Ovis aries: one gene and its partner. The protein of the gene in region 1 interacts with the protein of each later gene in a biochemical or structural test. Links are inferred from orthologs where the notes say so. Each region holds a gene or a part of one and is shown on either strand. Other genes may lie near its edges.

Evidence for each region. The genes of interacting proteins can lie anywhere in the genome.
Region 2: the proteins of UBE3A (region 1) and UBE2E1 form a complex in vitro, tested with the Homo sapiens proteins (2 studies listed by BioGRID). The link is inferred for Ovis aries from reciprocal best matches to the Homo sapiens genes UBE3A and UBE2E1.

The regions. Positions count from the first base shown.
Region 1 is NC_056071.1:1,613,248-1,617,923, forward strand, and holds the end of UBE3A (ubiquitin-protein ligase E3A), read right to left. Parts: intron 4,384-4,676; coding exon 4,240-4,383; intron 3,262-4,239; coding exon 3,141-3,261; 3' UTR 1,335-3,140; downstream 1-1,334. UniProt on the Homo sapiens protein: E3 ubiquitin-protein ligase which accepts ubiquitin from an E2 ubiquitin-conjugating enzyme in the form of a thioester and transfers it to its substrates.
Region 2 is NC_056079.1:41,468,393-41,474,214, reverse strand, and holds the start of UBE2E1 (ubiquitin-conjugating enzyme E2 E1), read left to right. Parts: upstream 1-2,159; 5' UTR 2,160-2,322; intron 2,323-3,217; 5' UTR 3,218-3,250; coding exon 3,251-3,402; intron 3,403-5,822. UniProt on the Homo sapiens protein: Accepts ubiquitin from the E1 complex and catalyzes its covalent attachment to other proteins. Catalyzes the covalent attachment of ISG15 to other proteins. Mediates the selective degradation of short-lived and abnormal proteins.

The DNA.
Region 1 (4,676 bases):
GAACAGTAAAGAAGTAAAAGACTGAGACTCTGCACTTTCTCTAGACTCCCCCAGGAAATTCTCCATACACTAACACTGTGGGTAAAAGAAGGAAAGAGAAAGAAGTTGCATTTTGAATCCTCTATTGGCTCAGGGAAGGGGCAGGAGTTTAAGAGATGGTCCTTAGAGGTTGGTGGAAGGTCAAAAAAAGATACCTAAGGTAAACGGGTTAAGGGGATCATGACTACAGATGGAGTAACCTTAGGAACACTGGCATTTCCCTGGTGGCTCAGAGGTTAAAGCGTCTGCCTGGAATGCGGGAGACCAGGGTTAGATCCCTGGGTTGGGAAGATCCCCTGGAGAAGGAAATGGCAACCCACTCCAGTACTCTTGCCTGGAGAATCCCATGGAGGGAGGAGCCTGGTAGGCTACTAGTTCACGGGGTCGCAAAGAGTCAGACACGACTGAGCGACTTCACTTTCACTTAGGAAGACTACCCTTCCTGAGTCTGCATGAAAGTCTTGAGAAAAGCCCTTGAAAGGGCCTGAAATCCCAGCACAGTCTTGCTCTTACAGTGAGCGATGCTGCCAGGTTACACTCATCCTTCCTTTCTAGTAAGATGGATGTGTACCGATAGGGGAATGAATACCATCAGCAAGTTTTGTTTGAAGCTTGACTTCACGTATCTCCCTCCTTAGTATGTATCCCAAAGTAAAGCTATAGAAATTGTCGTTGGATTTTATCACACAATTAAGCAGAGCCCAGTAAAGTTGTATAGGGTAGGAAATCCAATTCATTGGCCAAAGCTACCAGGCTCCATAAAAGTTTGGTCATAGTCCCTGTCTTTACTGTATGCTTGAGATATTCTGTAACAATGATATGTAGGAGAAACTGTGTATTTCACCTGGAACACCAATTAGTTTTCAGTTTTTTATTTCCTCCAGAGTTTCCTGGTCATCTGGGACAAAGAGTACTTTATAACACGACATCTGGGATAGAGGGAGTAACCACTATAGTCAAAATTTCTATTTGTTCCCTCTTAAGATACTATTCAGGGAACATTTTGTAGACAGTAGGGGAAAGGAGGCAATGAGAAAAGAAGTGGTAAAATGCCCAGGACAAACAGAAACTGAGCAAGTGAGAGCAAGTAGTCTGGACAACCAATGAACTTTTCTCTTAGAATATTTTCAAGGGTAGGTTTATTTTTAACTGTTTGTTAGAAGTCTATTTGATATGAATTCTATACCTGAAGATCTGTACTCAATGACCATTCAAAAACTTCACACAGATGTGATTACAATTGGATAACTTCAAGACTGCAGTGATAATAAAACTTGAGAACTGAAGAACACAAATTTCTTCACGAATTTATTATACAAAAAGCCCCCAGAGTATTTGATTTCTCGTATTCTCACTTTCATTATACACAAGAAGCACAGGAATGAGAGGCCTTTTCAGGTGACTGCGTAGCATGAGGGTCCCTTGAATCCAGGTAGTGTACATATTTTTAACAGTGTTCTCGAGGCTGGCCCAGAAAACCCCATGTTGCCTTATCACAATATGGAAAGTAATGTTTTCTTTTCCCACTAAATTATTGTGAAAAATGTCACTGTTTTATTTAGCATTATGGTACATTAACAGTTAAGTCTCAATTACTAAAAGAACTAAAATAATTCTGAAAGACATCCTCTTTCCCCTTCCAATGATTGAAAGCTGTATTTTTCCTGCCAATTTCAAACAAATCATCAAACTAATCTGTCATGGTCAGTTAAAACAATCGAGGTACAAGCTCAGCACATGAGCTGTAACTTGTAGCAAAATGATATATCAATATGTCTCTCCTCAGTTAAAAATACATAATCCTTTTATTTTATATCGCAATAAAAGAAATAAACATCACAGACACAGAAGACTAGAAGGGGAAACTACTTACTTCTGAAGGTCTAGTAATTTAAATCTACCTGTACTTTTCCACAGTACGTGAAAGTAGTATTTAACACTTTTTGAAATAAACTTTAATCTTTGGGGACAGACGATGTAAATAGGACTTAAAAGACAGTTCCATTCATTTCCAAGTCTCTGCTTACTGTATGATTAAGTAAAGCAAGGCACAACAGCCATTCTTTCCACTATGTTCCAACACTGATCATGTGCCTTGATAAAACGGCTGGCTGGATAAGATGATGGCGACAAGAAGGGAAGACTTTGGATTGTCTAAAATGTGGTTAATAAGCAAAGAATAAAAAATTTAAGTGCACTTTCACATGCTTTACGCTTATAATAAACAACAAACTTATCTTTCTTGCGAAGGGGTTGACTATCATTTCTTTTGGCCAAATGCACTTTTCCCCAATAAACTTAAAACAACAACAAATCCCTGTCCTTCCATATACTAAGAAGGAGGATTAGCTACTGAAACAGTTCATTGCAAGACACATGAAGACAACATACTGTGGCATGAGTTGTTTTTAATTTGTTGTGCTGTTACTAAAGTAAAGTTCTGAGGGCTGCAGTTAAACATTCCAAGTTCTCCCTTCCATCTTTATTGATTTTAAGATTTTTGCACAGAAGACTCTTTGGGGACTAGAACAGCAGCAATTGTATCACACTGTTTTCAAGACTTCCAAGTTTCAAAAGCAAATTGTTTAAAAAAAAAAAAAAAAAAAGAAAATACAGCTCCTGATTTGAGTTAGATACAGGGACCAAAAAAAAATAGCACATACTTGAAGGTTACATGGTCTACAAATGGTGGCAATATTTTCCTTGGGAGGGTAGTTTGTTGGTATATATTTTTAAATATGCAAAAAGGCTCAACCTCAAGCAGTAATAAACACAAGCAAAAGTGATTTAACCCTTAAAATAAATATTCAGAAAAACCTCTCTGTACATACAAGTGAAAGAATAAGTAACACTTTCACGCAAAAAAAAAAATAATAATAATAATAAAGGATTTGTTCATATAAGTAGCTGAAATCTGCTGTTCCAGCCCATATATCCCCAATAAAGAAGGGAGGCACAGACATAGGTGACTACTGTGGTTCACTATTTAACAGCCTTTTTGTACTGGGACACTATCACCACCAATTTTATCCCTCTCGTTATATTTATTAAAATTTTAAATTTCTTTTTCTTTTCTTTTTCTTTCCATTTTTTGTTTTTTTTTACAGCATGCCAAATCCTTTGGCATAAGTGATGGCCTTCAACAATCTCTCTTTAAGTTTTTCTTTGCTTGAATATTCCGGAAGTAAAAGGACATTAAAGCAAGTATGAGATGTAGGTAACCTATATAGAGAGAAAGGGGAAAAACAGGAAAGTAAGTCATGGGACATACGCTCAGTACTAAATGATCCTACTTTAGATGGTATATACATTGAGATGCAAAGCACACTACACATTAATGCAAGTCATAAACTTTGATTTTGCCACACAGCTACCAAACAGCAGTTTGTCTTTACCTCATAAATTACTCAGTGCTAATAATGATGATGGTTGACAATAACATATTCCATCCACAAAGTTATTACCACATACCAGATACTGTTTTAATAGGTTCTTAATCCAGAGAGCTCATTTAACTAACCTTCCTCACAGTAAACCTACAGATGGTCAGTTTCCCCACTGTAGAGTTGAAATCACTAAGTAGTGACATTAAGTGGAGACAATATTCAAATCTCAGTTCTAAAATTCCAGTCTGGGCTCTTTAGTGCTTATTTGAAATATTCCTGGATGACTATGTAATTGATTTGATAATAAATAAATTTACATTAATATCAAATCATGTAGAACACTAAAAGAAATGTTTCTATGCATTTAAATTATTAAGTATACTACTGCTCATATATGGCCACTACACACCAAATGTTAACTCACACAATAGAGGAAACACGACTAATGTAAGGACACTGAAATTGGTGGTACTAGCATAATCTAGGGCTGAACAATCTTGTGAACTTCAACTTGACTATTCTAAATACATGACTTAATATGGCTTTCAATTAAAAAATTCTCAACCGAAAACTTTAAGAATCATACCAATTTATAAAATTTCAAATCAAGTGAACTCTGTAATTTTTAACCTGCCCAGTGTGTAAAGATTTTCTTGAACATTAGCAGCAAAGCACTGGCTAAACTAACATTTTATGTGACTTGGAAATTTCTATTAAAAACTGCAAATGTGCTCAGAAGCTTCTGGATAGATCACACATGTGTAATAATATGGAAGCCAAGGTTTTCAATATATAGTCACAATTTAATAATTACCTTTCTGTGTCTGGACCATTTTTGGCTATTATCATCTTCAATTTTCCTAGTCCGCCCACAGGTGCCCTGTCTGTGCCTGTTGTAAACTGCAAGAAGAGTCTTTTCTGCTCATCTGTAAATGAATGAACAATTTCCCAGAACTCCCTAATGAGAAAAGATAAAAATACCGATTTTAGTTTGGCATTCATTATTGCTAGCACTAATTTAAATCTGTGATTTTCATTAAAACCATAATAGGAGATAACTTGGAGGTCAATATCAAGAGCCTGAAGGTTCTTTTCTGGGGATCTAGGACTTCCACTCATGCAAATTTAAGAAAACTATTTTCAAAAATATAAAAGCTTTTGTTCGTTGCTACATTATCTGCAACAGTAAAAACTGGCAACAACAAAAGGAAACAATTACATAAACTGTAAATATAGTCAGTAACAAACAAA
Region 2 (5,822 bases), on another chromosome or scaffold:
TCGATTTAAAATAATCTGACATAAAAAATAGTCTTCCGAGAGCAGCAGATTCTTTTCTTAACATTTTGAGGTTTTTATTCCCCCTACGGCAGGCAGGTCATTCCTGAACCCGTAAAGCACTAACCAGGGTTAGAGATAAGAAAGACACAAAAGAGAGCTAGTGTCCCTCCAGACTGGTGGTTGGGAAGGCACTCCCCTATGGAGGGGCCCTTCCATTGCATGATTTATTTCCCCAGGGCCCAGTGTAATCTAAGCATCAATGAAACACAAAATACCATGTTAGGTTTTTTTAAAAAAAATATTATTATAGTTAGTATCCAAACATATGATTTACGCAAACCAAAATTAAAGAAAAAACTCAGCCACCATCCTAGTCATGTGAGCACTTCAAACCTTTTCTTTTCCTGCATTTTTTACTGGTTGTACTCACCCTGTTCAGTTCAGTTCAGTCGCTCAGTCGTGTCTGACTCTGTGACCCCGTGGACTACAGAGCGCCAGGCTTCCACGTCCATTACCAAAACTCTTGGAAATTGGTCAAACACATGTCCGTCGAGTCGATGACACTGACAGTGTAGATATGTATTTCAAAGAATCAGGAACCCAAATTTTTGTTAAGAGGAAGTCTCAGTTTTAAGAACTATCTTCAGATTTTTTCATCCCTACTGAGTTCATGTTTGTTTACTGTTTTCCCTTAAATTTATATCTTTTACATCCAAAGTACATGTATACAGCCTGGTTTTAGCAGATTCTTTTGGATTGTTTTCATATAACATACAGCAGAGAATGTTATTATTTTTATATGTCTACTAGGACTCCTGAAATCAAACACACATCTGGGATCTTTTCAAAATTTCTAAGCATCTGAGTGACTGAGGGATTGCTCTGTCTGGAGATAGGAGGCTGAAATGATGACCTATATGTATTTTCTTTCTCAGCTTTTAGACCCCTTGATTCCATGACAATTCTTGGTAGGTACATGTTTCCTGGTCCCTCACAATTACTTTATGAGTCTTAATAAAGTTGGAGTTTCCTGTTGAGGGCTCGGAGGGGTTTAGGTGGGTGGTAAGAACGCTTGTTTTCCTGGTTAGCGGATACGCCTCGGGCTTTATAAATTGTGTTGTACTGTGGTAACTGCAGCCACACTGCTGCCATGGGAAAGGACGGCAATTTGGATGAGATAATTCAGTGGCCCATGGAAATCTGACTGGACAGTGGCTTAATGTACTACACTTCCTACCTGTAACATCATACCTATTTCTTCAATTTCCTTCAATTGAAATGAGGAATAAATGTGAAACATAATCAATTTGATGGCTTGAAAAAAGTAATCTTGTTAAGAATACTAAATGAACAATTCAGAATTAGAGGGACTTTTAGAAAAATTGTATGATTATTTGAATGGCGTTTGTATTGTAGCTGAAGAATGTACAGCGGTCCCCCAAACTTTTAATCCAAATTCTGACACCAAAAATTCTAAATCCAGTCTAATGCAGTAGTACAGAGTGTATTCCCATTGATTTCTCACATTCGTGAGACTGTCACACGTTGGTTGGTTTTTTCTGTCACGAAATTCTTTGTATCACTTTTAGAAAACACCACCTCTGTCTATAAAAATGACTGGAAATACCTAAAATTGTAAAACGGCACGTGTCTGGGCAGAAAAGTCCCGTTCCTCACAGGCGAGCCTGCACCTACTTCTGCTCCTAGCAGGTAAACCGTCAGAGGGAGAAGCCAGGTCAGCCCATAGGAAAGCCTGTCGTGGGATTTCTCATTTCCCCTTAGGCTGATCACTTTTAGGAGCAGTTCCCGGGGCCATTCTCTCGTCCAAAGTCCTGGCTACCGGATCACCTGTTGTTTTTTTTTTTAAACCAGTCGGCCACCCTCGAGTCTCCCTGGCAAAAGCCCCTCGCGGGAGGACTTCCTCAGGTCACCTCCCCACTCGGAGCAGTTCTCGGCACCCGCACCCACTCCCAGCGCGGGCGGGGGCGGGGGCGGGGTCCCCAGGCCACGCGAGACCTCGGCCCCCCGCCCGGCGCCCGAGGTGCTGAGGTGCGCGCTGGGGGGAGGGCGCGCGTGCGGGGGGAGGGGCGCGGGGCGGGGCCTGCGCGGGCGGGGGCGGGGCCTGCGCGGGGCGGGGCCTGCGCGGGGCGGGGCGGGGCGCGGGCGAGCGTGTGTGGCGGGGGAAGCCATTGCCTGTTTAATAGTTGCTGCTGCTGCACTTCCGCTTCTCTCCCGGCGAGAGAGAGACACGAGTGGCCAGGCCCAGCCGCAGCCGCAGCAGCAGCCGCCGCGGCGGCACGGAGCAGCCAGACACAAAGAGAGGTACGGGGATCCCCCGCGCCGCCCGCCGGCCCCCGGCCGCGCCGCCGGGCCTCGGGGCCGCCCCTAGCCGCCCGGGCGGCCGCCGGGCGCGGGGCCGGGGCTGGGGGACGGCGGGGGGCCGGGCCCGCCCGCGGGGGGATGGGCGGGGACCCCGGGCCGCGTGGGGCGCGAGGGCCGCCCGCGGCGGGGGCGGGGGGGGGCTGCCGGGGCTCGAACTGTCAGCGCGGCCACGGGGGGCTCCCGGGGCCGCCGAGGCCCGTGGAGGGGGAGGGGAGGGGCGCCCCGTGTCCCCGAGGCGGGGGCCCGCGGGGCTAGCTCCCCAGGGCGGCCGCGCTCATTGTTACCCCTCCGCCGGGGAGGCCCCGTACCCCGACCCCGGCGGCGCCCTTGCCAGTGCTGGGACCCCCGCCCGGCCGCGCCCCCGGGGGCCGGCCCGGGACTGGGGGGGGGGGGCCTGGCCTCGGCGCCCCCGCCCGCCGCCCGGCTCCCCACCACCCACCGGCGCCCGCTCCCCGTCCCCGTCCCCCCTTTCGGCTTCCTCCCTCGCCCCTCCCCGGCCTCCCCGCCCCGCCGAACTCCGTTCCCGGCCCCCGCGACCCCCGGGGGCCGCCGCACACCAATCGAGGCCGGCCGGCCCGGCCCCCGCCCGGAGGGGAGCCTCGAGGGCGGCGGAGGGGCGGCGCGCCGCGCTCCCGGCCGGTCCCCACCGCGGCCCCCACTCGGGGCCAGGAATATAGACAAACAGCCCGCGTCCGACTCGCAGAGGCCGTGATGGGCCTGGAGATTCGGGAAAGCGCGTGGAGGGCGGGGGGGCGGCCGGGGCCCGAGCCCTCCTGACAGCGCCCGAGTTCCGTGTCTACACCGGCCTTTCTGTTTTGTCTCCCTCCTCCTGCAGGGGCTGTTTGCGGGGTGGGGCGGGGGGTTCGCTATGTCGGATGACGATTCGAGGGCCAGCACCAGCTCCTCCTCGTCTTCGTCCTCCAACCAGCAAACTGAGAAAGAAGCAAACACCCCCAAGAAGAAGGAGAGCAAAGTCAGCATGAGCAAAAACTCCAAACTCCTCTCCACCAGCGCCAAGAGGTACCCAAACCCCACCCCCGCCCCCCAAAGCAGGCTTCCTATTGCCCGCACGGCCTCCGGTTGCATTGGGTCCGCTTCCAGTGAGGGTAGCTTACACGCTCCTCAGGGCTTATGTGTTCATAAAAAGGGAAAAAAGGACCTTGAAAGCCCGAATTATTTCTCTCTCTTGCTGCTTCTGTTTTTACTTCTGATCATTGTCTCCATGCAGCTGTTGTGGCTTGCCTTCCCCGTATCTTGCTGCAGTTTGTAAGAATCCGCATGAGTGTTACTAGTGACCTCCAAATCTGATTTCAAATTATTTGTCCTGTTAATCACTAATCTGTGACCCTCCCCAAGACTGTCATCCCACTTAATTATTAATACCTGCCCGGACAGCTCTATCACGACGATTTCTATCTCTGTCTTACTGCCTTCTCACCTGTTGCACATAGGATCTCTCTTTGAATAGTGCTTTCTCCACACATGGCGTAAGGAATAACTAACTCACGTTAGCAGAGTGAAAAATTTAATAGATGGAGATGGATGTTTTCAGATGGGATTTAAAGAGATTTTTCTGATTTAGAGAGTTGAGGCAAATTAATGAGTCAATAAGTGATGTAAATTAGTTATTCTAGGCTGTTTTGGGGATTCTTTGTGTTTTTTTGAGAACCTCCACTTAAATTTCCGGGAAGCTCAAATTTTTTTTCATGCTGTTTTCTTTTATGCTGTAAACAAAACAAAAACACTTTTGTCAACACAAGTTGAATTCAAGCAGTAGCTCTTTTTCTTTTTTCTCTCCCTCTTATGTCTCTGATAGAAGTTACTTTTAATCTCCATCATCCTTCAGTAGTATCCTCTGATCCTCACGAGCCTTAGTCTACAGCAGATTCCTTGGAGCCTCCATTCCTTTTCATAAATCCGGTTGTCCAGTGTACAGTCATTAAACTTTAAAGTGGCAAACCAGGAAGATAATAAGGAATTGAAATGGTAGCTTAGGTAAAGATGTCTGTCTTAAAAGATCGTTAAAAAAATGGAACAGGAGGCTTTAAGTCTCTCCACTGAGTAGTGAGCCAAAACTTTTAGTTAGAAAGTTTGTCCTGTCATTTTCCCTGAAATTTGGAAAGTTGATAAAATGCTTTGGTGACCTAAGCACAGGAGATGAAGAAAAGACTCTGGCTTACTGTAAACAGTGTATATGTGTAGAGTTACGTGGCAAGGTGCCTTGGCAAGATTCTCATTTTCAGCGAGGTTGTTTGATCGCATCTCAGCTTCCCAGGAGTCCTGAGCGGCCCTCCGCTATCAGCCCTGTGCTGGTTCTCCCCAAGCCTGGCATCTCCCCTGCCTGCTTTGGATGGACCCTTCTCTTCATTCCCCCTCCCTTTTTCTGGGCTCTCTGATCCAAGCTGAGGGCAGCTTTTGGCCTGACCTAAGGCAGAATATTTGCGTTAGTTCATTAGCACTTTTATATTTTGCTGGATTACCCTAGTGTCCAGGAATATATTTGGGGATAAAGGCACAGGTGTCAAATATAAAATTGTCTGCTTTATGTAAGCAAATTAGAGACAGTTTTTTTTCTTCATTAGACACAATTTGTCCATTTATGCTACGGGAGTTAAAAACTCATTTGGAAATGCCTGGGAAAGAGATGGTAGGTGTAAAATAAATGAAAGGTGGGACGCTTCCAACAGTAATTTTATCAAATTAACATCAGCTTTAGCTCCCTGGGAATCTTGCTGAAAGAGTGGCTGTTACCATAAAGCAGAGCTGTGGTTAATAGTAAAGGTGAAAAAACAGAGGAGGCCTCATATCCACAGAAGAACAAGGGGAAAAGAGGTCACTGGGACCCTGTAGCTGCTGGTCTGGGAAATTGATTTGGAAGGTAGGAATAGAATTGGGATGGGCACATATACTAGGAGATGGAAAGAAAGAAGCCTGAGTTGGCCCACAGAAGGTTACTGAACTGCATATTAGAAGGAAGCTGTTGGTTTTTAGTCCACAGCTGAAGGAAAAGCCCCCACTGCTGGTGGACTGGATAAGAAATACTCCGTGGAACATGTGTGGATTACTCTTAGAAATCTTTTCCCAGTATTCTAGAAGTAGTATGAATGTTTGCTGTAGAAATGAAGTGGATAAAGCTGTCTGGTATCTTTTTTAGGTATTAAAGAAACAGCTCCCTTTTCGGTGAATATTTTATCAGAGAGATTGGATTGACAAGGAAAATTTATACCAGTTGTGCTTAGGGGGAGGTGATTTTTGCCCCTGTACATAGGCCTTAACGTACACAGCCACTGTAGTAGATGCAGGTAAAGAAGCGGGAATCCCAGGATCCCAGCTTTGCCTGACATACAATAATGAGTCAAACACCAGGGATGCCAAGGGCCCAGAGCTGATAGATGATTGACAGCAAAAGAATTGAGCAGGACACAGATAAGTAGACACCA